4 linked regions of the Lonchura striata genome follow. The protein of the gene in region 3 interacts with the protein of the main gene of each other region in a pairwise test. Links are inferred from orthologs where the notes say so. Each region holds a gene or a part of one and is shown on either strand. Other genes may lie near its edges. The genes, in order: PSMF1, CCNG1, PAK5 and ATPAF2.

Region 1 (7,242 bases), on a different chromosome or scaffold from region 3:
TCTCTCCATACTCGGAGCAGGGAGCAGCGCTGCATCCCGGCTTTGCTGCTGGGGCTCAGGCAGTGAGCAGAGGCCAAGCCCGTGTGGGCAGTGCAGACAGGCAGCCCGTGGGCAGGGCGCTGCCCGTCTGGGGCTGGGACACCCCGGCAGCCAGCTTGGGACACCCCGGCAGCCAGCTGCTCCTGCTTTGATGTGGGGTCCCTCAGGCTCCGCACAATGCAGACTGGGGCAGGATGAAGCAAGGGTGATTGATTGTCTTGTTTTGTTCCTCCAAGGCTGTCCTGGACAGCTTGGATTCACAGCTGAGATCCCCCAAGAGCAGGGGCTGGCAGTGTCCACCCAGGCTGCAGGGATGGGGTTGGTGGGGTGCAGGCTCTGGCTGGAGGCAGTGGACTGGTCGTCTGAACCCTCTGTGCCTCAGTTTCCCCATCATCACTGCCCTCTTGGAAGCTCTTTGTGTCTCTGGATGAAATACATTCCCTGAGACTGTCCTCCATTACTTTCAGGTGTGCTGGGCATCCCAGGAATTCAGGTTGACAACGGGACCAGAGGAGTCCCACCAAAAGTAAAGCTCATTAGGATTTGAGCATGTTGACCTTCGAAAAATGGAGTTTAGCTCCATCCAGTTGATGAGTCACGACTCTGTTTGTGCGATGCACTCCCTGCAAGCAAGGTTTCCACCGCAGAACTAACAGGCTTTTCTGGAAAGCACAGGGGTTCTGGGTTTCCTAATTATTTTCAAACCCTACTGGCAGCCTCTCTCTGACAGGGATCACGCCTGCTCAAAGCGCAGCACTCAGGCATGTTTAGAGTCCTGAAGCACTAACTGACTTTAGCTCGGCCTCGCTGCTGAGCGCCGGCTCTCGCAGCCCCAGTCCCTCCTCCTGCCCGAGTCTGCCTGCATGTGGTTTGCATTTCTTCCCCAGAGAAAAAACCCCTTTCTCCTGCCTCAGTGTCATCTTTCCCTGGAATTGAATTTAGAAGAAATGAAGGGGAGGCCGAATTTTCATCGAGTGACTACCTCCTTTCAAGGCAATGATGGCAGTGAGGGGAAAAGTCCATTCCAGGAACCCCTGCCCCGGTCCACAGCCCTTGGCACTGGTGATTTTAGTCACAATCAGGTGGTTCCTTGTGAGCCAATAAGCCCTGAGGCACTGAGCAGATTGTGGAGGAGCTACTCCAATGCTGCTGGCTTCTCCTGCTATGCAGCAGGGGATCCCATCTTTCCTTCCTACTGTGTGATAGGAAACTGCTGCCTGCATGGAGCAGGACAGAGATTCTGGTAGAAAACATGGCAGTGCCATCCATCACCTCACCCTGCTCACCCTGGGTGATGGGGGGCTTTCCCATCCATGGGAGGGAAGCAGAAGCCTGCAATACCTGAACATCAGCCTGGGATTATCCACAGCCCCTCTCTGCCTTCTCCTGTGAGACTCTGGGTCATACCCAGCATGCATAACACAGCACAGCACAGCACAGGGGTGAGCCAGCTGCCCTGGCCGTGCTGGCAGCCATTCCCAGCACAGAGGGCTCATGGGCTGCCAGCGGGGTGGGTGGTTGGGAAATCTGTTTCCTCTTCTGCTCGTTACAACACCACAGTGGGCGCATGCAATGGGAGCAGTGAGGCAGTGGGAAAGTATGAAGGTCAGGGGAGATTGCGGTTCGTGTGATGGAAGTGACCCCGGCTGATGTAGCCTTGTACCTGCTCCAAACACCGCCGTCCGGCTGGGATAGCTCCAGCTACTGCCTCCCCTGGGACATCACCCCTAGCCATGCTCTGTCAGGGAGCAGATCCCCACAGATCATGTTCCTGGGTGAAAGAGGGAGGAAAATGGCCAAGGGTGGCTTACTTGGTGCAAGAGCTGGGTGTGAATTGGCATGAACATGTGCGAGGTATCAGGGCACTGGCTGCTCTGAGAGTTTTGCTCAGTTCTCACAGCATCGCTCCTGCTCCCAGCTAGGCTCCAGCAGTCCCTAAAAGGACATGGCTGCTCTGATGATGGCACCAGCGTGCCCGGCAGCCACCCTGACGCACTCGCCTTGTGCCGGCTCTGCAATCCTCATCACCTCCTGAGTGACTTGGCTGTTGATTCCAGCCAGGCCGGGCTCTCCGTACCTCCCACACAGTTCACAGGCCCCTAACTCACATTAGGGGGCTGCTTTCATGTGGCCAGTGGTTTTCATCATCATTAAGCCATGGAGTGAATGAAGCACGGGAGCAGAGGAAGGAGACAACAGGGAGTCAGGCAATGTGGGCCAGCTTGGCACCGTGGGTGCTGGAATAACGACTTTGATGTAGTGGCAGTCAGCCCTGGGGCCATGGGCTCAGGTATGGTAGGGCCCTGGCTCCCAGGAGGGTCCTGAGGTGAGGGGATGCATGGAAGCATCCTGCTTTCCTCACTGCTGTGCCCATGGAGAGGCTGATCAGGCCAAGGGAGACTTAGCACCAAAAGTCACTTTCCAAGAATGGTCCGGGGCAGCTGACACAACACAGTGTGGGAAAATAAATCAAGGATGGACATGGAGGTGAGGCCACAGGAGGACAAGCTGAGGGCTGGATGGGAGCAGGTAGTGAGGGGTGAGAGGGTGGGGAACGGATGGTGGGTAAACAGGGATGGCAGAAATTTGGATGGGAAATGGAAAGCTCAGCAAGCACGCAGCAGAGCTTTGGTGTGATCCTGCTAAGACACTGACAGCTTCTGAGGCCACCAATCCTAAATACCCTTTTGATCCTGCACCTGCAGGAACCTTGGCAACAGCTCTACAGGAGCATAGGGTGAGTCCAATAGCAGCAGTGAGATACAGGATTCCAGATCGTTTCTGGAGGGAGATCTGTGATTTCAAACTCTGCCTCAGAACTGGGCATTTAAATGGAGCCACTGGTAGCTCCTGGCCCACCCAGGGCCAGGCTGGGAAAGTGAAATGTGGATGTCATCAAAGCCTGAAACCGCGGCTGCTGCCCAGGAGTGAGCTGATCCATGGAGTGGAAATGCTGCTGCTGCTCTGAATCACATCTGAGTGATGGAGAAGCTCTGGCTGAGGCATTTCCTGCTGTTCCCAGCTCATCCCCATCCGATGCCTCTCTCATGGAGCTCCTGTGCTGCAATCCCGGCCCTGTGGAAAATCCACAGCAGCTTTCCTGATGAGTCCAGCTGTCTTCCCTGAAGAAAGGAGGGCCAAAGTATGGCAGGAGGTGTGGTATCTCCTGGTAGTGATTCCCATGGGACCTGCCGGGCTGTGGTCGGTTGTTCAGCCTCAGTGACTTCTTGAAGGGGAAATGGAAAGAGAGAGCAGTGCAAGTTAATTAATTGACGCATAATGAAGTCAAGATGAGCATCCCCCAAGGAGCTGAAGCTCAGATTAGGAAAGCAGCAGATGATGGTGTTTGCTGGCTTTGTCCCGAGCCCCAGCCTCCTGCCAGCCATGCTGAGGACACTGGCTCTGGCCCAGGGGCAAGGCAAAAAAAGCCCCTGAATGCCTTTTAATGGCAACTTTAATAGAATTTAGGTGTTATAAGCATTGTGGCCCAGACAAGGAGTTATGGAAGGGATGAAATAAACCCATCAATGGCTGTTTGGTGCTTTGATCCCTTTGGTGTCAGCATGACAGCTTGCTATGGCAGAACAAGCAGACCCTGCATGGACTGGACTCAAATGCTTTTCTGACGACAAGAAAGAGCCAGGAGCAGGGAAGGAGGCTCAGAGTGATTAACCAGGACGGTGCTGGATGGTGCTGGGCAGACACCCTTCACAGGATCACGGAATCCTTTAGGTTGGAAAACCCCGCTTAGATCGAGTCCAACTATTGCCCCAGCACAACCAAGACCACCACTAACCCTTCTGGCGAATAAATTTTCCCTAATATGCAAAGTAAACCTCTGCTGGTACAACGCGGGGCCGTTTCCACTTGTGTCCCTGAGCACGATAAGAGCCTGACCCCCAATGGCTGCACCCTCCTGTCAGGGCGCTGTGAGGGTGAGAAGGTCCCCCTGAGCCTCCTTTCCTCCACGCTGAGTCCCCTCAGCTCCCTCAGCCTCTCTGGTGCTCAACCCCTTCCCGAGCTCCATTCCTTTCTCTGGACATGCTCCAGCCCCTCAACGTCCTTCTTGTCCGGGGTGGCTCTGAACCGACCGCAGGCCTCGCAGCGCCGTACAGCGCAGAACGCCAAGGCCGCTCCGCGCGGCGCGGGCCCGGCGCGGCGGACGGGAGCCCTCTAGCGAGGGGCGGTGCGGGCCCGGCTCCGCCCCGGCCCGGAGCAGCCATGGCCGGCCTGGAGCCGCTCTACGCCTGGGCAAGGCCCGCCATCTCCCGTCCGCAGGACGCTCTGGTCTGCGGCATCCACTGGGAGCTGATTCGGCAAGGCTACCGCTGCCTGGGTACCGGAGACCAGGTACGGGCCGAGCCGCGCTGCGCCGCCGCGGAGGCCTGGTAGGCCGCGGTGAAGCCTCGGTCTTTCCTAGCGCCGCTCGCCGGCGCCGTGCGACCGCTGCCTGGGCATGGGGAGCCGGGCGGCGCCGGCGGTGGTGGAGGCACCCGGGCCGGCGCGGTGGCCTCAGGGCCTCAGTACTGCTGTGGAAGTCAGAGCGGGCGGCTGCGGGGCTCGGGGTATCCCGGTGCTGTAGGGGGGTCTCGCTTTTGGGAAAATGGGGGTGCTGAGAACATCCCGGTACTGGGGGCACCGAGGGTCCTGATGTTGCGGGGTGGTCGGGGGGATGTCGCAGGATAGGAGATCCTGATGCTGGTGCGATCAGTATAACTCCGGGAAGAGAGTTATTATAGTGCTAAGTGGAGCATGGTGGTGAAGCAGAACTCTGTAAGAAAAGGGAGGTGTCCAGTTCAGTGCTGAGGAGGAAATGTACTGGGGCAATACCAGAGGTGGGGCAGTCTACTTGTGGACCCAGTGTTAAGACGGGGGTCTAGTGAATTTGGATCCTGATGAGTGTCGGGAGAATGCCTGATGTGGTGTTGGGGGGTAATGGGGGGTGCAGGGCACTGTCACAGCAGAGGACTCTCCTCAGTACCACAGGAGGTGACTGTGTAGGGCACAACCCCCCAGAAGCAGTGTTGTGGGGCTGGGACAAACATGATGACAGCCTTCCCCCGTGCCCCAGACAGTTCTTTATCATGCTGAGGAAGTGCAAGGTGTGTGACAGGGAAGAGCATTGTCTCCTATGTGGGTGTTTGTGACCGCTTCCTGCTTGTTGTGTCCTCCTCTTCCAGCGCAGGGATGCTGTGGGAGGCTGGCAAGCAGGCAGGGCCAGTCTCTAGGAAATACCTGCTTGTACTGTCAAAACCTGGAAGGCATTTAGGGATCCCCTCCCAAAAACCTCAATTCCCTCCTGGATCTCCCTGTGCAGCCAAGACAAGACCCCCAGCCCTAGGAGGTCATGCTGGGCTCCTGGGCAGGGTCTCGGCAGCCTGTCTGTTCCATTGCAGCCAGGTCCTGATGAGAGGAAGTCAGAGCTGTTGCCTGCTGGCTGGGAAGCCAACAAGGAGGTGTACACACTGCGCTACAAGTCCATGGATGATGCCCATGAGCTGCTGCTGAAGGCCATCATGGTGGAGGACAGTATGATCCTCAATGTCATGGTGAGCACCCAGTGGTCCCTGTGGATGTGGGGTCCTTTGGCTGAAAAGAACATCGGGGCAATTTCTTAAATTCTTTTGCTTGTTGTGCCTGGAAGTGGTGTTTGTCCCTCAGGATAGGGCAGACCCAGGGGGTGTTTTTGGGTTAGATGTGGCCCAGCATGAAGCTGGTCAAACCCTGGCTGTGTCAGGGCAGTGGGACAATTGTCCTTGAACAGTCCAGTGCAGGAGATTCCCTGTTTCTGTCCCTTTCCCAGCTCAGGACTTCTCTGCAGCCTCCAACAAGCAGCTGCTCCAAGTAGTTTTGCTCAGTGTTCCACCCTTTGCAGCCTGAGCTGGGGAGAGGGAGCAGGGAAAATCTTGTACAGTGAGGTTTGTTCTTGGGGATTCAGGCATGGCACAGGGACATGGTGGGAAGCAGGTGAGCCCTGTTCCTTGTATCCCAAGACTGGGGCTGTTTTTGTAGCTTCTCTGTCCCTCATTCCCAGATCTACCAGGCTGCTCACTCTGCTTTATGTGCATTTTTCCAGGATCGCAGCTCTCAGAAGGTCGCAGATGTGACCTTGGCAGTGGCCGACTACATCAACCCAGAGCACCTGGACGATTTCCACAAGTAATTTCAATTTCCTGGTATTTTCTGCAAGAGCAGAATTCTACTGGCATGGAGAGGGAGGTAGAAATCCCCCCTGGGGGAGCTGGAGGATTTACTCCTCAGTTCAAAACCAGGCCAGTCCTGAAATGCAGCCAGAACTCTGTTCCCTGCCTTTCTCTGCACTGGCACGGGAGATATAGAGGACAATGGGATCGTGGGTGTGACCCAAGAGGAGAGACACCCCACCTGGGATCAGGCCAGGCCAGCACAATTATTTCCAGAGCACTGTGCTGGGTGGACACTGCCCAGGAATGTGACAGCTTCAGCCACATCCACAGTGTCATGTGCTTTCCTCCAGTGCAGGCCGGTTGGGTTGGAGCAGAAGGGAGTGGCTGGGTGGCACCTTGCCCATCTGAAATGGGGTAAAGGCTTTGGTGCACTTGTGTGCTGTTACCCCTTCCTGTCCCCTCTGTGCTGCCAGTGGGGGACTTGTTTTGTGCTAGGGACACTTTGGGCTTGTCTGTCCCCTCCCTGAGCCTGTTGCAGCCTGTCCAGCACCCCATGTCCTGGTGCCATGACCACCCCACCCCACTGCCTTCCCTCTCCTTGCTGCAGGGTGTACAAGAACACCGAGGAGCTGAGGACAAGAATCACTTCAGGCATCATTGCTCCCCTCGGGGCCCCTGCAGGAAAGGCCAGAAAGGAGCCTGAGTCCAAAGAGGATGTGCCCTGGGATGAGAACCCGCTCCGGCTCCCTCCCCGGCAGCCGATGGGAACAAGGGCCCCATCCAGGTGAGGAAAGTGTGTGGCTGCTGAGAGCCTCCTGTTAGAGGGGATGTGGTCCTGGCACAGATCCCCAAACTACACATCAGGTCCCCATCTTGCACATGTGGGATGGGGAGTGAAAAGGATCCAGACCTTCCCCAGCTGGATCAGCCTGGACATTTGAGTTTGATTTGGTTGTTGGAGAGGGATGGGCTGTTCTGGAGCTGTGTGTTGGACTGACAGGCCCAGTAGGGAACAGGCAGGGGCTGGGGCTGGGAGGTGAGGTGTGGGGCGAAGGAC
Region 2 (7,265 bases), on a different chromosome or scaffold from region 3:
AAAAAAAAAAAAGAACATTTCCTTTGCAATATATAATTTTGAATTTTAATTTAGATAACTCAGACTATTTACTGGCAACATAAATATCCATATTCATGACATCTGATTTGCTATAATCTTTATTTCTGATGTGCTGCATCTGTGAATACTTGAAGCACTTGAGTTTGCATTCATGGGCAATTATATGGGAATGTCATCCAATAGCAACAGATTGATTTACAGTTTAGACTTCATAGCATCAAAAGACAATTCATTTTCCCTCAGATGAGCTGTGGCATGAGACCTGGGATTGATGCTTCCACTCTCATTTTTTTAACAAATTACTTTTTCTTGTCTAATAGACTGTCAAATCAAGGGCATTATAATGAGGGTCAAACCAGTGCCTTTTAGATGCATTCTCTCAGTGCATCTCACTACTTTGCAAAGGTCAGAGGAAGAAAGGGAAATGGACAGCAAGTAGAAACTTAAATTTCATCCAAGTGTTTTGGAGGGGAAAGAGGCACAGGTATGGTATTTGGTCATTTCACCTTCACACCCCAGGACTCCCTCATTCTGACTTCCACTGAGCCGTCCAGAAATCCAAGCTCTTGTTATGAAAAACACATTTTTCTTAAAATTCTCTGCATCTCTAACTTCTAGTCTTGCCTGTCGGAAGTTATTCTGAAGTAGAAAGGTTCTTTCAATAAAACAAATTTTAGTTAATTTCACAGGTGATAGGAAGAATCAAACAAACCCACAATAAATCTGTGGCAAGTACAATAGGAGAAAGTAGTATGAATATCATGTTTAATGGATATATTGAGTAAATAAAGTGATAAAGCTCATGGATGCATCAAACAGTCCCTCTCTTACAGTTCTTCAAAGGAAAGAGCACAACAGCAGAGGCTTCCCAGAGACCTGCTCTCTCATCATCCCCTCCTTAGGTGACAACAGAAAAATGAGTATTGGTAAGGACAGCCATTAACACAGGGAGGATGAGCCAAGTGCTTTTAACATTGCCTAATTCAAAGCAGCTCAGACGTTCCTTTGGTGGCTTCTCATTCTTGTGAAAACACACACAATGTCCTTACCATCTTTTTTTTAACAGATAAAACCCCACACATATGAACATCTTTTACTGAACAAAAATACCTTATAGCTGATCTTCATTAGCAACGTTTCTCCAAGGCATACAGAGATAATGAAAACAACTGCAGTTTCCCATAGTTATAAAACAAACACCTGGGAGCAAATCCAGCACACTGCTCATTTCAGGCAGAGGGGACCAGAATTTATTCACACCAGTCACAGTTGTCCCACCACTTAAAGTGCAACTCAACCTTCCTCTGTTTCAAAGGGAGGCATAAAGCACTTGAGAAACCAAACTTAGGGCAAGTGAAAAACAAACATGCTCAAAAGCAGAGTATGTAGAGACAAAAATCCAACTTTCAGGCTACACAGGATGACTTGGCTTGTGCACTTAGGTGTGACCATCAATAGTGCTAGCAAAAGGTGGTGCCAAAAATGCTTGCTAAAAGTGAAATAAATCACTCAACCTTTCTTTCAGGAAGATTTTCCAACATCAAATAAGCTGACAGACTTTACTGAAAAAAAAAAGTATTCTTCTCAGGATAATTATCACCTAGGCTTTATTGCAAACTCAGTCTACCTAAGATAATTTCTAAAAAACCATAAAATCCACTTGGATTTGAACTCTTTCTTGCCCTCTTGAGATGCAGAGCACCTCTTCCCATCAGCAAGATGTGTATATGTTCAAAATCTGCATCGGTACTGATAAAACCAGTTTAGAGCTATATATCACTTCATGTATTAGTGACATATACCAATATGTATTTTCTTTGAAGAGGGAAAATAATCAAATACAGCTAAGAGGTCTGCCTTACTAAAAACCTTGCTTTTCAGAAAAGGTTAGTTCATTCCTCAGGAGAATTTTCAGCCTTTCAAGCAATTGACAGTAACTTTCACAAAGCATCTTGAAAATTTTAGGCTGAAGTAGAAATAACACTTCAACACTTTTAAGAAAAAACTAAAGTACCTTGAACCCATTTGAAATACCATCATAATGGTTTGCAAAATGGATTCTTCAGCCATTGTTCAGTATTTTTAAGGAACTGGTAATCACTTTGGATAAAGTAGCACATAATGGAACACATTGAATAAATAAATGTCTTGGGCATCAAGCATGCCCAAACCAAAAGCGCTTTACAGTACGCAGTTCTCTTTACTTGCCTAGAGTCAGTTCAGGAGTGGAGCATTTACAGCTCCTGGAAGAGTTCTCACTGCTGGTTTGAGTGTTGGATGTGTCACAGAAGGATTTTCTCTGGACTCCCGGGCTATGTGTGGATGAAAAGATTTCTGTTGCACATCCTGGCTAGAATAAAGCAATGCCCTGATTCTCTAACACTAGAGAATCACCAAGTGTTGTTGGAGGGTTTTTGTTTTTCCCGCAGGTGACAATCTCACCTTCTATGAATATGTTATTTGGGCTGGAAAGCATTAAAGACATGAACCCTTTAATGTCTTGTACTGCAGAGGTTTCAGTCATGCAGGAGGTGAGAGCAGTAGAGGACCTAACCCCACCAGCCTTCAGCCCTGGGGGACAGCATCTGCCCTGGCCTGGAAAGCCAGCCAGGAGCCACCCCAGGGCTTGGGAGCCATTTATGCTTTAAGAGCCATTTGTACTGATGCCTTATCAAGACTGACAAAGCCTAGAACAGAGGCTAGACAAAGTTAAAGAATAAAGTAGGGATTTATTAAAAGGCCTCAATGGATCCACCTTGAGTAGCACAAGAGCCCAGCCACGGCTACACTCATGATGAACCCAAATGGTCACAAAAAAATGGACAACTGGTCATGACGTCTCTCATTTTATAAGTACTGGTCCATTTCCATATTGGAGCTAATTGTCCAATTATAGCTTTAGGTTATGAAGTCCCATCCTTCTTGTTTTTATCTCTTCAGTTCACGTTGTTGTCCATGCTCTTGGGCCTGAGATCTGGGTGGCCATCACTGGTCCCAAGCTAGCGAAGGAATTGTCTACCTACTCCCATGAAAAAAACTTACCAACACTTAATATGAAGCTCAGAACTGCACACTCAAGAAGCACAAAACCTGAAAAACACAAAAGTTAAAACCTAAGGCACTGATACCAGGGCTGGGTGCATGCTTGGGGAGCTCCCATTGACCCAACGAGTGAGACCATCACAGCGGCCTGGTCCGGGCCGGTCTGGGCCAGTCCCTCAGTGGCCGGGCCAGTCCCTCATTGCCGGGCCGGTCCCTCATTGTCCGGCCGGTCCCTCATTGCCCGGCCGGTCCCTCATTGCCCGGCCGGTCCCTCATTGCCCGGCCGGTCTCTCAATGCCCATCCGGTCCCTCATTGCCCGGCCGGTCTCTCAATGCCCATCCGGTCCCTCATTGCCCGGCCGGTCCCTCATTGCCCGGCCGGTCCCCCGTTGCCCGGCCGGTCTCTCATTGCCCGGCCGGTCCCCCATTGCCCGGCCGGTCTCTCATTGCCCGGCCGGTCCCCCATTGCCCGGCCGGTCCCTCGGTGCCCGGCCGGTCCCCCGTTGCCCGGCCGGTCCCTCGGTGCCCGGCCGGTCCCTCGTTGCCCGGCCGGTCCCTCATTGCCCGGCCGGTCCCTCGTTGCCCGGCCGGTCCCTCAATGCCCATCCGGTCTCTCATCGCCCGGCCGGTCCCCCATTGCCCGGCCGGTCCCCCATTGCCCGGCCGGTCCCTCGTTGCCCGGCCGGTCCCTCATTGCCCGGCCGGTCTCTCAATGCCCATCCGGTCCCTCATTGCCCGGCCGGTCCCTCGTTGCCGGGCCGGTCCCTCATTGCCCATCCGGTCCCTCGTTGCCCGGCCGGTCTCTCATTGCCCGGCCGGTCCCTCATTGCCCGGCCGGTCTCTCGGTGCCCGGCCGGTCCCCCATCGCCCGGCCGGTCCCTCGGTGCCCGGCCGGTCCCTCATCGCATTGCCCGGCCGGTCCCTCATTGCCCGGCCGGTCTCTCATTGCCCGGCCGGTCCCTCATTGCCCGGCCGGTCTCTCGGTGCCCGGCCGGTCCCTCATTGCCCGGCCGGTCCCTCATTGCCCGGCCGGTCCCTCAGTGCCCGGCCGGTCCCCCGCTGCCCGGCCGGTCCCTCGGTGCCGGGGCCGCCGCTCCGGCCGGGGGGCTCGGGGAGCGCGCGCGCGCGCCCGCCGCAGGCGGGGCCGGCTGGGGGGGCGGGGCCCGGCGCGGCGGGGCCGCCAGAGGGCGCCACTGCGCGGGCGGGGCGGCGGCTCGGGGTGCGCGGCTGTGCCCGGCAGTGACCGCCCGGCCCCGCCGCGGACACTGCGGGCACCCCGGACACTGCGGGCACTGCGGGCACTGCGGGCACTCCGGACACTGCGGGCACTCCGGGCCCGCTCCGGCCCCTCCGGCCCGCCCAGCCCCTCCCGGGCAGGGAGCGGGGTCGCACAGACAAGGTAAGGGCGCGCGGCCGGCTCCCGTCCCGCCGGCTGCGCGTTTGGCGTCCCCGTGCCGTGTCCGTCCCGTCCCTTCCGTGGGGTGAGCGTTGTCCCTCTGTCCGTCCATCCCCCGGCGGAGCGCGCAGGTCGCTCGTCCTCCGGCAGAGCCCCGCGGCAGCGAGGGGCAGGCCCGGGCATGTCCCGGGAGGCGCCGCCCGCCGCGGGGCCGCGGTGCCCCGGGGGTGCCCCGGGGATGCCCTGGGTGCCCCGGGGGTGCCCTGGGTGCCCCGGGGATGCCCCGGGGGTGCCCTGGGTGCCCCGGGGGTGCCCTGGACGCCCCGGGGGTGCCCCGGGGATGCCCTGGTTGCCCCGGGGGTGCCCTGGGTGCCCCGGGGATGCCCTGGGTGCCGTGGGGGTGCCCTGGGTGCCCCGGGGATGCCCTGGACGCCCCGGGGATGCCCTGGGTGCCCCGGGCGCTCCGTGCCTGTGCCCGGCTGCCGCGTCCTGGCCGCACAGTCTGGGAGCTTGGGTGGCTTTGCCGCGTTCTGGTTGTCTGGCTGACGCTGTTTCTCGCGGCAGATGATCGATACCCTGGCGAGCGGCGCGGCTCGGGACCCGGCGCTGGAGCTGCCCGCGATGCTGGAGCAGGAGCTGCGGGCTCAGCCCCGCGCCGCCGGCCTCCGGCTGCTCGAGGCTGCCCACGACAATGGCCTGCGAATGACCGCACGGCTGCGGGACTTCGAGGTGAAAGATCTCCTCAGCTTAACTCAGTTCTTTGGCTTCCACACTGAGACCTTCTCGCTAGCTGTGAATTTCTTAGATAGGTTTTTGTCGAAAATGAAGGTAAGGCATTTTAAAGTATACGCTCAGCCTAGTTCCTAGTCGAAGCTAGAATGTCTTGGGTTTAGATAAAGGTTAAGTTGCTTCCAGACATTCTTGATTGTGCGGAGCTAAAAAATTGTGTTCTCCGTTCAATTTTTGATATTGTTAAGAAAGGTGTTTTCTGTAGAGAAGGAGAAACTAAAGGATGTCGATGGGATGGGAAACAGGAGGTGTTAATAGCTTAGACCAAGAAAGATTGCCTCTCCTGTTGCATAGATACAAAAACATGTTAAATTACTTCTCATTTAACTGCCTTTTCAACCCTATCAGTCAGCATTGTGTATATCAAAATGCTGTTGAAAACTTAAAATCTGGTCAAACATTAGCGCTGCATTCTCCCGTGCGGATGTGACATGCTGACCTGAGTTGTTTTAAGTTGTCTTAACAAGACAGGATTACCGCTGTACAGTTTGGACAAGAACAAAAGCTTGTTTTCCTTGTGTGTGCAAACAAAAATGGGAAAGCTAGATGGAATGGATGGGAAAATGATGATTTAAAAGACTTGTGAATCCAGATGAAGCAGAAAAAATCAGGACTACATTGTCTATGGAATAAAATAAGACCATTTATATATACATGTATGTGTGTGTATATATACTTACAATAGAGTTAGAAACCCCCAATTTTTTACTATCACCCCTAATATCTACAACACTTTAAGTCCTAAAAGCTTCATATTAGGCTATTTTAGAACCTTATTAACAAGTCAATTCTGCCTCAATCAAAATTGCTCTGCAGTCTTGCTTTTTAGATGAATGAGATGCAATTTATGGTATGTAACTGTTTTTCCATTTGCTTAAACAAAGATAATAATGTACAATAAAAGACTAAGTTTTCAATCTCCAAAAAACAAAACAACCCCTCATCCCCCATAATTATTTGATGAAATAGATTGGTGCTTACAGTTAGATACTTGCATGTTGTAATAGCTGATCAGAGGCTTTCTTCTTTGAAAATAACAATTCACTTTTCTTTAGGTACAGCCTAAACACTTGGGCTGCGTTGGACTCAGCTGCTTCTACTTGGCTGTGAAGGCATCAGAAGAAGAGAGAAACGTGCCCTTAGCCACTGACTTAATTCGAATAAGCCAGTATAGGTTCACTGTTTCTGATATGATGAGAATGGAGAAAATCATATTGGAGAAATTGTGTTGGAAAGTCAAAGCTGTAACCACCTTCCAGTTTCTACAGCTCTATCATTCATTCATTCATGAGAATTTAAGCTGTGAAAGGTACAATAGCTGATCCTGATTTTGCTATAACTGCCTAAGACCAGAAAATACAGAATGTAGAAAAGTAAGCAGAGAAATTTCTTGGGTAATTAGCCTTTCTATACTTTAAAAGTCCCACAAACTTTCTCCCCTACTGGTAATAGTCATAAATGTGAGCATCTGTGATTTTATATTATTGAAATTTTAAATATTGCTTGCCTAAATGGAATATTGCTTCTCTGAGTTGAAAACCAAACTTGCTCAATAATGATGGTATAATAAATCTCTGCTTATGCTGTAGTGAAGTATTGCCTCATTGTAAAGATTGCAAAATCTGGTTTAGAAAAGATTCCTTTTGCTAGTAAGGACTGAAACTCCTTGTTAAGCCTGCTTTGGTAATGCAACTCTTCCCCAGTGTAACACAAGATTTATTTTTGGCATTGGGACTGCCAAGACTGAACACCTGTTTGAATGTAACCCCAGAAGTTCTGGGGCAAATGAAGACTTTGTTTAGATAATGAACATTCTTGCTACTTCTCTTGAGTTTCCCAGAGTGATGCTCCCTTGATCAACCTTTCATTCCTCTAGATTAACTCATCTGTTTTTATTACAGGAGAAAATACCTTAATTTTGAGAGACTTGAGACCCAGCTTAAGGCCTGTCACTGCAGAATCATGTTTTCTAAAGCCAAGGTAAACATCTTAAAAATTCAAAGAAAATTAAACAGCT
Region 3 (7,723 bases):
TCCCTGCACAAACCTCTGTCTCCACGTTGCTATTTATGTGTGCATGTGTATGAGATAATAGAGAGTGACTGACTACAATATATGCATTTAAGCTACTCAGCTGAAAATTACTGAGCATTAAAATCCCCTGGGAATCACAAGACTTCTAAATTAGGAAAGCACGTCAGTCAGTGTGTGGAAATGAGTCTCGTACAAGAGTAGCTTTCAATAAGAAGAATGAGTATTGTTCCTTGGAGTACATCAATCCCAGTTTGGCCACTCTGTACCAGCTTTTACTATTTCTCTGGAAGCATACAGGGGCTTTTGTTATTATTTTTCCTGTCTTTTGTTCCGTTGTGCATTTCTATTAGATATGTCTCATGGGCCAGCTATCAAGAGACACACTGCTGTGCTGTGCCAAATGAAGGCATTTTTAACCATAAACAAGGTATTGTGGGTTGAAAAGAACTGTGGACAATGACAAGTCCTGGACTCTTTGTAATTGTTTAAATGGTTTTTTATTATATTGAGCAGTGACACAGAAACTCTGAGAAACTGGCTGATTTGACCTGAGGTTGAAATGAGCAGAATGCTGCAGGGTAGATGAGGGGCTTTGGGAAAGAGGCATTTTTCTTGGTCTAGGCCATCAGTACATCTCTTTCCATGATTAAGGCATGTATTTTAATAGTGGTTATATTACTTAGAAGTCTGACCCATCTCAAAAAAATACCAGACACCTTGAAAATCCAGATAACTAGTTGAATCCTATTGATCATCAAGCTTTTAATTCTGAAACTTACACAGGCATGCACTGGAAATTATACTTCTATACTTTCACTGAACTGAAAGAATAGTCTGGAAAAACTATGTGGTCACAGGTGATTAATTTCTGTCAGTACATTATTTGTGTGCAGAAGATCTTACCAGAATGGTAAAAGACTCAAAATAGGAGCTGACTTTGTTTGTTCAGGATTTGTAGGTCCTTTTTGTTGCTGCCAGAGGGTCAGTGTTTAAAATCATCATTAGTAGAGTATGTGAGAACATTTTCTAAGGTGTTATTTTATTGTTCCCAAATTGAAATGCTCAAATCATAATGAGGAGCAGAGGGATGAATAGGGATCATGGGACATGGGGTCCCTCATTAGACAGGTGAGCCAACCTAGCATTCGCCTGCACATTGTCTATTCCCATGGCAAAACAAAACAAAACAAAAAAAAAAAAAAAAAAAAAAACAAACCCTTGTAATGAGCTCTCCCTCTAGCTAACAGCAGTAACTTAATAAATAAATACAAGACATGACCACAGGACTCACCTGCCCCTGGTTTGAGGTGCTCCCTGCTTCTTGGGTTCTTCCCATTTTTTTCCATCTTTTTTCCATCCATCCAGAATGACACTATGGGAGTTAGGAAAGCATTTAGGAACACTGTATGTGGAAAGTCAAACAGGATTTCTCCTTTTGTCAGTAGTGAGTCAAACCTGACCTGAAACCAGTGTGGTTTTTAAGAGTCTTTCCATGAACTTTATTGTCTTCTTATTCAGTTCACTCTGCTTTTCCAGGTGTAGCTTCTGGTTTTATCTCCTGAAAAATAAGGTAGTGCCCTCTGTATCTTCAGTTTAAAATAGAGATAAATTCTTCTTAAAACTTAAGCCTGCAGTCAGGGGCATGCTTCAGGTTTTTTTGCAAAAGAAGCTCATGCTCTGATTGCAGCCAGCAGCAGAGGGTCCCTGCCGAGAAGCTCAGAACAATCCTTAAACAGAAAGAAAACACAAAACTGTTGCTGTTCCTTAGTAAAGAAAAAAAAAAACAAAAAATTTTCTAATTTTTAATAGTTTTATTAAGTATAGTAAATATATTAAATGTATATTAGGTGTATAGCTGCACAGATATGTGTTGGTCTCCTTCCACTTGTCTCAGGAAGGAGCAGGAGCTCTCACTGATGTGAGCCAAAGAACCATCATCATTTTCACCTCTCCCATCCAGAGGATCTCTTCAGAGATTTGTGCTGCCATCAGTCCATTGCAGACATTGGCTTTCTCCTGGAGATTGAGTTTCAGCCCAGCTCACATTTGTCTGGAGCGCTGGCTCTGCAGGCTGCCTTGACACACTAATTTAATTTGTGCTTCTCAATTCATACTCTCTCATTTAGGATCAAGTATGAGGAAAGGTTACAATTAATCAGAGCAGGGGAACAGAGCCACCAAAGCTAATGATGTATTTCTGCATTTGGGCTGCTCTGGAGGGGAACAATTGAGGTCCTTGTGGTACAGAAAACTATTATTAGTAAGTAAAAAGTATCAAAAGAAAGCAACCTGCACCCATCTCCCAGTTTTGCAATCTGTGTCTCTGTCAGGTTTCTTAAAAAATAAGCATTTTATTAATGCTCCTGCCTGGAACTGGGTTTTTTGGCTGTGTGGCTCATTTGGGAGAAAATATGCCTTTTCACAGGACCTTTTCACAGCCCTTGCTGCTGCCCCCCGTTTGGGCTCACAGATGATACTCAGCATTCATTAAGGCAATTTTTATATGCTAATAACATGCCCATCCACAAGGAAAAAGAGCTCTGATGCTGCTTGCTTAGCTGAGGAACCATAGGGAATCCCTGCAGAAAATACAGATAATACTTCCTAATAGAAGATGAACTAATTGCTGGTTGTTTAAAAGCAAACATGTTGCTGGGCTGGGGCAGACGGTGAACACAGAGCCCCTCCTGAGGGAATATTTTCAGCCCAGCCTGTGCTGGAGCAGCAGTGAGGTGTGTGTAGGAAATCCTTGCAGGCTTGCCAGGGTGGCTCAGGGTCATGGTGAGCACACAGGATTTTCTGGGGTTAGTAGGACACTTTATCTGGCTCCCAAAATACCACAGTAAAAAATAAAGCTTAAATAGCTATAGCACAGAGTAATTAAAAGTTCCATTTTAAAGTAAAAATTCCCATCTCACTTCATTATTCTAGGTACTGACTTTGTACGGTTACTGTGCGTTTTTATGTGTGGCAGAATTTCAAAGACCTTTACTCGGTTATCTGGGGCCATTTGGGATGGCAAGGGCTGTTGTCACTGCTTAAGGGATGCACTTGGAAGACTGGTAGTTTTCAAGATTACAAGATGTGAAAGTTCTTTCCAACTTTTGTAGTCTTTTTTAAAAGAGCAGCTATTTGGAGGAGGAACAAAAATTTGCTCTGACTTTTTTATTGGGAACAGAAAACAGGGCAGAGTTAAAGAGTTCTCTCTTATTTTGTAGATTAACTGAATTACTCTTAGGATATGATAAAAGATACAAAATACCATTAACCTTAGAATGAAGTAATCCTTTTTTTTCATTTTATTCCTACTGTCTTTGATCTAACTTGCTGTAAATGTGAAAATTTGTTCTTTGAGGGCAGTAACATTCTGGAAAGTCTGGACTTTCAACTTTCAGTTCATCAGTCTTGGAGTGTCCTCTGATGTCACATACAGGAGAGGGACAACTCCTGGAAAAACCCCAGGATGGGACCAAACTTCTAAGAGTGAACAGACCTGTGACCTCTGTGTGAGCTGGCAGGGCTTTAACCTTTTGTGGGAAAGCTCCTGCTGGAAATCCTGTCCTGAGCACAGCCTACCATGGGAAAGTCTGAATGGGCACCCAGAACAGTACTGCCACCCTCTTGCTCCAGTGTGTGGGAGTGGAGGATGCTTCTTGCTGGAAAAACCCCTTCATCTGGAACTGGGAGGCAGCACAATGAGAGTGCAGTAGCTGACTGAGTGGATTTATTTCTAATTTGCTGGGTACATCACACACCTTGCATGGGCATCATCTCAGGAAATTTCCTCTGTGGGCATCTGGTCTGTCTGTGAAAGACATGGGTGAAATTTGGACCTGCCTAGGAGCCCATGGCACTGTGATGTCAGTGAACTATTTCTGTGCACAGAAAGGAGTGCTGTGCAAAGGAGCCAAGTCTGCCATAGACCTAGCAGGCAGGGTGTGCTGATTATCATGTAAGTTGATTTGTTAGGCACCACAGTAAACAGCATTAAGGGCAAAAGCAGTGATTGCTCCTGAGTGTTACCTGGTGCCTGCAGCAGCCAGTGGAGATGTGTTACTCAGCTGTTACTCAGCCTCAGCAGGCACCAGCAGAGCTCTAGCACTGCTCCTTTCCTGGGCAGAAATAAAGATTAAGACAAAACTGAAATTGTAGAAGGGTTTGGGTAACAATATTCATAGCACAATTCCCATATTTCTTCTGTTGTCCCTGTTCCTTTCCCATTCCCTGTGATACATCTGGGACCAGCCTTGCTGTGGGTTACTCAGGAGAGGTACTGAGTACCTCATTAGGTGCTGCAGTAGTCTGATTTTCCCCCCAGTACTGCATTTTCCTCTAGTAAGTGTTATGTCCCTATTTTTCCATCATGGCTTTGGTTCAGAAACTCTGTTATCTGTAACACTTGTGCCACGGCTAGGCTGTGGGTTGAGGAGCCCTTGGCATGGCTGCCTGGAGCTGAACAGGCTCAGCTTCTGGCTCTCCCATTACAGAGCAGACTTGCTTTAGGTGTTGCGCTGTCCTTCTTACTGAGTTCATTGTTTGCTTTCACTGGAGGGCTGCCTCCTCCAGACCTCACATTTACAAGCACAAAATTCACGTGCTGCATCATTTCAGCATAAGAGCAAGTAAAGAATCTGTAGAAATGCCCCAGTGAAGCACTGCAGTGGTGAGTCCTGTTTTCCCCACAAAACCAAGCCCAGTGCCATGAGTAGTAGCTCCCCCAGCCCCCTTGTGTCAAGTGTCACCTTGTGCCATGTGCCACTGGAATCATCCAGACTATCCCTTGGCAAGGCACGTGCAAGGAGAGGACAGACATCCTGGTTGTGCTCATCCCACCAAAATAGCATCAGATTACAAGTACAATACCTCTCATTTCCTCTCCTTCTGTGGGGGTGAGCACAGGAGGATCTGGACAGAGAGGTGGCATTTGCTGAGAGCCCTGGCACAGTCAGGGCCACGTTGGAAGCTGTCAGGAAGAATTAAGTAAAGGGTGAGTGCTCTGGCGTGGGGATGGCTCAAAGGCAGCTCTGCAGAGCTGTCCTGCAGCCTTCCTCCTCCCTGTGCCTCTGATAAAGGCTGCCCTGTTGTCTGGGGGATGTTTTCCCAAATAATCCCATTAGGAAATTAGGGGTTCTTAATAACTGTGAGAGGATTGCTGTTTCCTGTGAATGGGTAGGTGCCTGAATGAATTTCATACATTTTTGTGCTCTTGATACAAATTTCATAAGTTTTCTGCTACACAAACATTATCCAGCATCCTGGAAAGCTCCATCAGTCCTCTTCAAAGCACTTGGGTTATTCCTAAAATGGCTTTAGATATCTTGAAGAACATGTAGTCATTTACCAGGGATGTTTTCTGCTTCCTCGCCTGATTAAACCAGTCCTTTCTTTTTTGTGTCATATTAATAGAGCTGTGGGAAAAACTGAATCATCACTCCATTTTTGAGGTATGAGGACCAAGCACATCAGTGGGGACTGAATCAGGACACTTAGAAGCCCAGAGCATAAGGTTTCACAAACTTGGCTGCCCCAAACCCTCATCCTCAGACAGATGAGGAAAACAGGCAGCATCATTTCCATTCTTTGGGAGAAATGAGGGGAAATGAAGCTTCCTTGTGACTGCTGTGTATGCCATAGCTTTTTGGAGGGACTATGCTGAGGGGAGGTTGGCTTGGACTTGCAGTGAAATGGAGGTAACTTGGTGGCTGGTACTTTGTTGAATGAATGTGCTGTTCATTTTAAAAAGTGGTGTGCACTGTGCCAACTGATGGGCTCTTAGTTACCTGATGTTGTTTGGAGCTCGGGAGGACTTCAAGCATCCAGCAGCTGCCTTGGAATGCAAGTCGTGTGGGAAACCCTGGCATTGATCAGAGGAAAATATTAATGTCTAGAGCTGATGGTTTCAAATGTTACTCCAATAGTCTCATGGATTCCTGTCCCTGAGGCGAATGAAATCAATGCAGTGCCATTGATCTGCAGCTGGATGCCACTGGTGGAACCACTGCCTGACTTGGGACTGCCTCTGTTTGAGCCTGGAACATGGAGAATCTCTGAACAGAGAGCAGCCACCATGGCTTTGGAAGCATGTCTGCAAGTGCCACAAGGTACCCAACAGACCAAAGCAAAATAAAACAATTATGATGCCAGGAAAGGAAAAAATACACATATCAAAGTGATTGTATTGTAGGAGGTTTTTGGAGAGGAAGGGGAGGAAGATACGCAAATTAACAGAGCTGGAGAGAAACTGTCAAAAGAGCAGGAGATTTTGGGAAGTTCAGAGTACGGTAGAAAGCCAGAGAGGTGTGTAGAACATGAGACCTGTGAAGAGAGGCCAACAGGAGCAAGTCTGTTCTGTCTAAAAGAAATACCCACAAAAAAGACAATCACCTACAAATACACGGGGTGGGACTTGATTCAAATAATGGACTTGATCTTTAGATAAACTAGTAAAAGGTAGTGAGGGTGGAATAAATGCCTCATTTATCACCATATCTTTCCTTAGCTGCAGCAGCAGCACAACTGTGTTTTCTTCTCTGAGCTTCTCCTCTGCACCTCCCAAATTAAAGTCAGGAGCAGACTTTAATTAGAGAAGCACTTCTACAGCTGTGATAGAAGAGCACTGGCAGCCTCCTCACCCTGCTGCTATTTCAGATCCTGCTCAAGTGCTTAGCTAGCCTGCTTGAAATGGCCCAGAGAGCAGGGTGGAGGAGTATTGTGAAACGGCAGAAAGTAGGCAGAGAATGTTTCCAGGACAGGACAGGATGTCACTGAAAAGCAGCAGGACCTCTGCCTGTTTCCCTGGGACCAGGAGTTTATCTTTGCCTTGCACAGCAGATTTCTGGAGTCCTCCAGAAAGTCAGTTCTGAACTTGCTTCAATAGAATTGTTAGGCTGCACTTCATTTTAAGGTGGGACCCACCAACCCAAATATTAATGCAGGTAGAGTATTGGCTATTTCCTTTGCCAGTAGAATGAGCAAGTACCTTTATCCCTCTCAGTTTGTAGCTTGTGCCTCCTTCCAATGAAACTTCTCTTGCCCCAGCTAATCTATTATCCTAGGTTCCCTTGTGTGCTCTGAAAACCTCCTGCTGCCTCCTCAGGAACTAAACAGACAGGAGGAAAGCAAATCAACTCAGTCTTATCAGGAAATAACAATCAAAATTTACTAAAAAGTTCACTTTCTGCAGAGCAGGGACTGTAGCAATTAGCTTTAGCACGCCAACCCAGGTGGATCCAGTGACAGAGAAGCTGGGAAGGTCACATTTCCTCCAGCTCCTTGCTTCTATAGGATTGGAAGGACTCCTGTCTCTTCTCCACACCACCTGCACAGGAACTAGAAGAGCTGATGCTCCTTCCTGGACCTTCAAAGGCATAGGGCTATGATGTGATGAATCCTGCCCAAGCCTGCTGGCCAGCAGCCAGGGACCTCTGCCCATCTGGGCCTGAACCCAGGTGCTTTGGGCATGTGGCTCTCACGGCAAATCCTTTCTCTCCTCAAGAAGTCAGGCCATGATATTTGTAATAGCTGATACCTGATGCTTTTTTTAAGCAGGACCCTTCACAAATGCAGAGGAAGGCCCTTGGCCCAGGTTGGAATTAGATCTGAGCTCTCTGTTTTCATTGCTGAAATGGCACAGGAATAATTCCCCTTGGAGTGCTGCTGTGAGAGACCTAGACCTGACATGGCAGAGCCAGGCTTTTGTCTGGGATGGGTTGTCTTTGCTGGG
Region 4 (7,010 bases), on a different chromosome or scaffold from region 3:
GAGGGTACAAACCCCACTGCAACTCTCTGTGGGGCCACTCCTGCTTCTCCTTGCCCAGTGGCTCAGCTCAGCATTCCCTGCTCACCCAGTCTGACCAAAGCCACAGGGGCAGGTGGGGGAAGCCTGTTCCTCTCTCCACAGGAACTGTGCAGCTGCCAGTGGAGGAGCCTGGGCATGAACAGGCTTGATGCTACAGCTCATGGGGACTTTAAGGAATGAAGGGCATTTTGGGACTGCTACAAGTAGTCTCAGCTATCTGTACTGGCACAGGAATACCAGGGACTGGCTGACAGAGCCCCACAAGCCTTTCAAAGGTGTTTTCTTTTCTCCAAGATCTTCATTTCCCACTGATCTCACCCTTGCCCAGCAGGGAGGTGTCCAAAACGGAGTTCAACAGAGGACCAAATCCAATTCTCCTTCTTTGGGTGCACAGACTGCAACCAGGTTTGCACATTCAAACCCTCAGGCAAAAACCAGCACAGAGCCATGCCATGACTGGGTGAGTGCAGATGTCTTCCCTCACTTTACCCAACCCTCTTTCCAAAATCCAGCTGGGTCCCCATCTCGTTACCAGACTGTGTCTGTCTCCAGGAACTTCACAGCTGCTCGGATCAGCTGCGTTTTGTTTCGCTGCGTGGGATTGTCCAGCGCCGTGTTGCACAGAGTGGTCTGGGGATAAAAGCAGTTGAAACTGCTGTTATTCCAGGCTTGAAAAAGCAGCAACTTCCATGGTACAATGCCAAGAAGAAGCAGAGGGATCTGTGGCAAATGATCTGAGGGGTGCAGGGTTACAAAATGGCTAATGTAATAAGTGTCTTCTCAAATCTTTCAGAATCCCTGGAAGCAGCTTATTAAGCAGCAGGGAAGAGGGGCCAAGGATTGCTCCAGAGCTCAGTTTCCTCCTGCCCCTAACTATTCCAAATAACACTGTCCAGCCCCTTCTCAAGTTCCCCTAAGTGACACAGATTCCCTCTAGACAGGCACCTGGCCAGCCCAGAGAAAGTCCTTTCTGCTCATTAGGAGCAGGACAACCTGCTGCCTCCACATTCTGCATTTGGAGGTCTCAGCACTCCACCCTGCCATGCTCACCAGGTGCATTGTGTAGAACTTGATGGTGTCTTTCTGGGAATCCCACTCTGTTGCCACTGCAATGGCCAAGGCCTCGCTGGGGACAGTGAAGAGTTTGGCCTGGGGCGTTTTCAGCTTTCGGTGGTCCAGGTTTATTTCAAAGCCTCCTGGGGAATCAGAGTAGAAATCCTGGGGAATCAAAGAGGAGCAGGCACTAAGGAACAACAGACAACCCCACAGGAGGAGCAGATTCAAAGTTATAGAGCTGAGAGGAGCAAGAGACCAGGAACACTCAGGTTTCCCACCATCACTTGGATACACTTGGTCCTGGAAGCTGGTTCCCACCATGCAGCTTTGCTGTAGATGAGGAGGGGGCACAGCAGCTGGTGACAAACCTGCCACTGACACAGCTTGGGCTGCAGGTGCTGATGTGGGGTGGGGTGATGACACCTCTCCTAGGGATCAGCTCCCCCATCCCATCCCATCGGCCATACTCACCTTCCCCCTGCGAGATGCTCACGTTCTGGTAGAACCTCTTCCTCTCTAGGGACAGAAACAGAAGGCAAAGAGAACATTCAGAGGGCAAACAGAGAATGTTCAATGCCTTCCCCTGCTCCCCATCACAGCTCAGAACAGACAGAGCTTTGCTGCTGTCGACGTGGTAACAAAAATCCAGCCCTTCTTCCACAGTTTCCAAGCTGTGAGCTGCAGTGAGCTCCCCTCAGCAGGGAGGCACCAGGAGCAACGAGAACCAGCTCCAATCCTGCCAGGCTGGGGGCTCAGCTGCCTCAGAGTGTGGCAGGGCTGGTTTCCCAAGCAGGCCTGTCCCACCTCTCCTCAGTTCTGCTTCAGGGTCAACCTTTCCAGATTCTACAATTACAGTTACACTGGATAAATTAACCCTCAAAGGACACTGCAGCCCAAACATCTCAGTCCAGCTCAGGAATATACCTGTTCCACCAACAAGATGAGCCTGAGGAAACTTCAGGTCTCATTTTAGGAGCAGCATCCTTTGCTACCAGCACTCCTACCGCCGTGAGAGCAGGATTACACCCATCCCAAAGGCTCACACCCCTCCCACAAGGCAGGAAGAATCCACGAGCCATTCCCCTGACAACAGCAAGCAGGCTGTAAATCCCAAACCCATAAACCTGTCTGGTGAAGGACACAGCAAACAGGCCAGGCCGCGGGTCTGCTATTCCAGGCTAAAACCAGCACATTCCCACTGAGGAAATAGAAGGATTTGCTCAGGCTCGGCGACCTGTGAGCTTTGGGGCCTCAGGCACAGTTCTAAAAACAGATTAAAGTGTGTGTACCCCAGAGGAGCCCCGAGGCTCATCAGTGACTCCCAAAACTTTGTCATGAGTCACCGCGACGCTGCAGCCTCACCTCCGACAAAATGAGATTAATTTTATTGTTTTTAAACCCACGTGATGGGATACGTGAGCCAGAACATACCTGAACCCCCTGGTCTGAGTCCCATTCCCTCAAAATCCCTAAAACCCAACAAAACACAAAAACAAGTGTAACAAACTGGTTCAGCGAGGGCTCGGCCGTGCTGCCAGCGAACCCTGCCCGCTCCAAGGACAGGCTAACACCAGGGAAAGGGCGCCGGGGACAACTCCAGCACCGGGGCCGTGCTAATCCCCGCCCTGCCCTGGGTGACCCCGGCATGAGGGTCCCCGGGGGAGGATCCCCCTCCCCAAACGCGGCTCCCTCACCTGTCGGCGGGGCATAGGCCCGGCGCCCACATGACCCCACCGGGCCGCTCCCAGCATCTGCAGGAGGAGTTCTGGGGAGCCGAGCGGGCTGGGAACGAGCCCACCACAGCCGGCGACAGCCGCGCCACATCGCGCCAGACGACACCACCACGACCACCCCGTCCGCACCGCGCTCAGCGCCGCTCCCTGGGCGCCGCCATCTTGCCGCCGGCCGCAACCAATCCGCGCCGCCTCCATTTAAAAAGAAACTACATTTCCCAGCAGCGCCGGGTGGCACCGCAACCAATCAACGCCCGAGCGTCGTTGCCAGCAGCCAATCAGAGCTAAGGGACGCCCCTCAGGCACGCGCGCCGAGGCGCTGCCAGGAGGCCCCGACCCGGCGGCGGCGGCGGCGTGAGGGAGCGGAGCGGAGCGGGCGGCGTCCCCCCGGCCGCAACCCCGGCCCCGGCCACGCTGGCGCCCGGGGACCCTCCCGAGATGCCGGTTCGGAGCGAGAGGCACCGCAGTGGAGGGGCGGGAGGTTCATCCTCCTCCCCTGCTACCGGAGCGGCCGCCAGCAGCTTAGTACCGCCACCCCCCATCAACACGGCGCAGCCTGGAGTGGCCACTTCGCTTCTTTACAGCGGGGCCAAGTTCCGCGGGCAGCAGCGCAGCAAAGGCAACGCTTACGAGGTGGAGGTCGTCATGCAGGTGAGGGGGAACGGCGTGGCGAGCCTGGTTTTGGCAGGGTGGGAATGGCCACCGCGGCCTGAGGCGAGACGGGGGAACCCCGGCTCGCCTCAGGTCGCGGTGGCCATTCCCACCCTGCCAGCCCCTTGTGACAGCACCCGCATCACCCTACCCCTCTATATTAGAAGGAATTTGTCGCAGAAAATATCACTCTAAACATCAGAATATCCTACTTAATGATGTGGTGGAATCACCATCCCTGGAGGTGTTGGAGGAAAGACTGGACGTGGCACTTAGTGCTGGTGAATCAGTCACGGGATGAGCTCAGCTCTTTTCCGACCTCAGTGGTTCTGTGATGATTCTAAGCTTTTTATGGTCATTTCTCCACGTTTCTGGTGGGATTTGTGCCCTGCTGCACGCTGCCACCTCGCAGGGGCTGGTTGTGGTTTTGTGTTTAAAAACGCTGCTTTTTTTGTCGAAAACGTGGCTGATTTGCATGTGTCAGCTGAAGAGAAGGGGGCTGCCTGCTCTCCCTGTGCTGAGCACGGGGAAACGTTGCTGTCCTTTGATCACAGGTGGAGAAGATCCATCTTCTCACGGGTGGAGGTTTGTACTTCCCTGAATAACTCACTCTAGATCTCAGAGAAAAGAAAAAACCCCTTGGAAAATCCCTGCTTTTAAAGGAGCAGGCAAATCCTTGCCTAATTTCTGCACAGCACAGGCAGAGAGATGCAGCCTGATAACTCAAAATGCAGGTGGCATAAAAGCTTTAAATTTAGGAGAAAGGCTTGTAAAATGCCGGGGGTGTGGGTGATTCTTCCAGGGATGCTTTTTCTTGGAGAATACTGTGAATCAGATCCCTTCCTGCTGGAAAGGGGATTTGCTTCCTGCTGCAGAGTTCTTGGGAGCAGGCCTGGGATGTGGAGGCTGCCAGAGGTGAGCTGGGCACCTGCAAATGATCTTTCCAGGTGGTTCCCATCATGGAAAAGGGCTGTGAATATTGGGCAGTGGGTACCAGCTGGAGCTGAAATTATCTTTGGAAGGGTTAGAAACTGCTTTGGGTCAAGCATGCACCTTCATGCCTATTTTTATGGTTGGACTTTGCACTCTTTTCCAGCATGTGGATATGGAAAACTCCTATCTCTGTGGATACTTGAAGATTAAAGGCCTTACAGAGGTGAGTGTTAACTGCAAAACAGCACAAAAAGGGGCTCTGTGAAGGCTTTTTTTTTTTTTTTTCCTGGTGGAGTGAGAGAAGCTGCTGCCAGAAATAGGAAGCGGAGGGTGTGAGCATGGTGTAGATTTGATCAAAGGGGATCAGCTGGGGAGTGGTGCTGGCTGTAAATGCCACAGGTGATCATCCAGCTGGGAGCTCCATGGAATCATTTACAGTTGGAAAAGCCCTCTGAAATCATTGAGTCCAACCACTGACCCAGGACCCAGCCAGGTCCACCACTTCCCTGGGCAGCCTGTTCCAATGTTTAACCACTCTTTTAAATTGTTTTTAATATCCAATCTAAACCTCCCTTAGTGCAATTTAAGGACATTTCTTCTTGTCCTGTCCCTTGTTCCCTGGGAGCAGAGCATGACCCCCACCTCGCAGCCCCCTCAGCTGCTTATGTTCCAAATCCTTCCCTGCAGCCCAGCTCTGATGTGGCTCCTGGCTTCATAAAATGAAGAGAGAGGCAGAGAAAGGCTGGAATAAGAGCGTGGAAGAGTCAGCTTGGAGAGGTGTGGGGCAGGATGAGGGATGGGAGCAGCAGCCTCAGATGGCCCAATCTCCCTGCGAGATGCTTTTTGCTGAGTGCATGGAGCTTTGTCTGCTCTTGAGTTTGTGCCTGTAGGTGACTATTGTGACCCCACCTTTGTCTCCCCTCTGCCAGGAGTACCCAACCCTCACCACGTTCTTCGAGGGCGAGATAATCAGTAAGAAACACCCGTTCCTAACGCGCAAGTGGGATGCCGACGAAGACGTGGATCGTAAACACTGGGTAAATAAATCTGGGGGCACAGGGTGGCTCTGGGCTGCTGGTCTGGGGGAGAGGGGCAGTGTGTGCCCATGCAAGAGCTGGCAGAAAGGCCTGGAGACCTTTTTGCTGTCTCCTTCCTTTTCCCCTGGGATCTTTATTTATAAAGGTCTCTTCAGCAAACTGTGATCTGTGATGAGGGAAGGGATGTTTTGTTTTCTACTTGTTTGCCTCGGGGTTGGGAGGAAGCAGGAGCAATCCCTGTCTCTTGATCCCCTAAGAGAACACAGTAATTAGTTTTGGAGATTTATTACAAAATGGAATGGAAAAGGGGAAAGGGATCCCACAAGCACAGGCAGAGTAGTTGGTACCTGTGTCCCTGCTCAGGGCAGGGTGTACCTGTTGCTGTGTTGTGAGGCCACAGCAGCCCACCTGATCACCCCCCCGCCCTTGACCTTGGCTGTTGTTTGCCAAGCTTTGATGTTTGTTGTATTTCTGTCAAAATATCCTCCTCTGGAAGTACAGGAGCTTCTTCAGCCAGGCTGGATATTGCTGTGAGTGTCAGTAGATTTCCCTCCTAAACAGCAGCTGGTACTAGAAGTTCTATTCCTGGAATAAACATCCTGAGCTGTTTTTTTGTTGTTGTTTGTTTTGTTTCAGGGAAAGTTCCAAGCTTTTTACCAGTATGCAAAAACATTTAACTCTGATGACTTTGATTATGAAGATCTAAAAAATGGGGACTATGTCTTCATGAGATGGAAGGTAAACCCTGCCTGTCTCCTTCTCTGCTGAGCTGCTTGCAAGGCACTGACAGAAACTTGAGATGTCTCAGAGCTTTTCCAGCTATGATGGTTTAATAGAAGATCTCACCCTGCCAACCCCAAAACCCACTGTACTTGCAAGTTCCAGTATGACTCTTGTCTAGCCAGCTAATTGTGTCCTTAAGGACTGCAGTCATGGCTAAAAACACAACAGGAAAATCTTGCTTGGTGATCCTGCAGAGGATGAGAGAATTGATGCCTCCAGTCCCTGTGTGGGGCCTGTGTTTGATGTTCTGGCCAGTCTGCAGCTCCATTCTTCAGCTGAGATCATCACAGAGTCACCATAGACTGCTTTGGGTTGGAAGGAACCTTAAAGCTCATCTTGTTCCATCCTCCTGCCTATGGCAGGGACACATCCCATTATCCCAGGTTGCTCCAAGTCCTTTCCTTGGACAGTTCCAGGGATCATGGGGTACCCACAGTTTTTCTGGGTACTGTGTGCCAGGGCCTCCCCACCTTCACAGGGAAAAATGTCTTTTCCAATATCCCATCTAACCCTGCCCTCTGGCAGTGGGTAGCCTTTCCCTCTCTTCCTGTCACTCCATGTCCTTGGCTGGAAAGTTTCCCTCCAGTTCTCCCATAAGCTCCCATAGGTGTTGAAAAGCTGCAGTGAGAACTCCCTGGAGCCTTCTCTTCATTCTCAGGCTCTGACTCCGAGTTTTGCAATGGGCTTCTGGCTTGCAGGGGACAGGTGTTGAAACTGATCTCTTGCACTCTCAAAACTCATTCTGTTCTCAGTTTTCTGCTTCCCTGTGAGGTCCCTG

Evidence for each region.
Region 1: the proteins of PAK5 (region 3) and PSMF1 interact in binary tests that used the Homo sapiens proteins (3 or more experiments, as listed by UniProt). The two-hybrid records come from large-scale screens. The link is inferred for Lonchura striata from reciprocal best matches to the Homo sapiens genes PAK5 and PSMF1.
Region 2: the proteins of PAK5 (region 3) and CCNG1 interact in binary tests that used the Homo sapiens proteins (3 or more experiments, as listed by UniProt). The two-hybrid records come from large-scale screens. The link is inferred for Lonchura striata from reciprocal best matches to the Homo sapiens genes PAK5 and CCNG1.
Region 4: the proteins of PAK5 (region 3) and ATPAF2 interact in binary tests that used the Homo sapiens proteins (3 or more experiments, as listed by UniProt). The two-hybrid records come from large-scale screens. The link is inferred for Lonchura striata from reciprocal best matches to the Homo sapiens genes PAK5 and ATPAF2.

The regions. Positions count from the first base shown.
Region 1 is NC_134619.1:7,399,596-7,406,837, reverse strand, and holds the start of PSMF1 (proteasome inhibitor PI31 subunit), read left to right. Parts: upstream 1-4,225; 5' UTR 4,226-4,260; coding exon 4,261-4,389; intron 4,390-5,435; coding exon 5,436-5,588; intron 5,589-6,115; coding exon 6,116-6,198; intron 6,199-6,792; coding exon 6,793-6,969; intron 6,970-7,242. UniProt on the Homo sapiens protein: Plays an important role in control of proteasome function. Inhibits the hydrolysis of protein and peptide substrates by the 20S proteasome. Also inhibits the activation of the proteasome by the proteasome regulatory proteins PA700 and PA28.
Region 2 is NC_134617.1:12,010,551-12,017,815, forward strand, and holds the start of CCNG1 (cyclin-G1), read left to right. Parts: upstream 1-4,263; 5' UTR 4,264-4,462; intron 4,463-5,023; coding exon 5,024-5,287; intron 5,288-6,303; coding exon 6,304-6,557; intron 6,558-7,149; coding exon 7,150-7,228; intron 7,229-7,265. UniProt on the Homo sapiens protein: May play a role in growth regulation. Is associated with G2/M phase arrest in response to DNA damage. May be an intermediate by which p53 mediates its role as an inhibitor of cellular proliferation.
Region 3 is NC_134605.1:23,652,396-23,660,118, forward strand, and holds the start of PAK5 (serine/threonine-protein kinase PAK 5), read left to right. Parts: upstream 1-4,719; 5' UTR 4,720-5,893; coding exon 5,894-6,101; intron 6,102-7,723.
Region 4 is NC_134618.1:15,651,593-15,658,602, forward strand, and holds the start of ATPAF2 (ATP synthase mitochondrial F1 complex assembly factor 2), read right to left. Parts: upstream 3,013-7,010; 5' UTR 2,920-3,012; coding exon 2,790-2,919; intron 1,612-2,789; coding exon 1,567-1,611; intron 1,236-1,566; coding exon 1,090-1,235; intron 670-1,089; coding exon 572-669; intron 1-571. Other genes in the region: GID4 (glucose-induced degradation protein 4 homolog), read left to right, coding at 3,267-3,479, 4,576-4,635, 5,342-5,449, 6,086-6,187. UniProt on the Homo sapiens protein: Plays a role in the assembly of the F1 component of the mitochondrial ATP synthase (ATPase).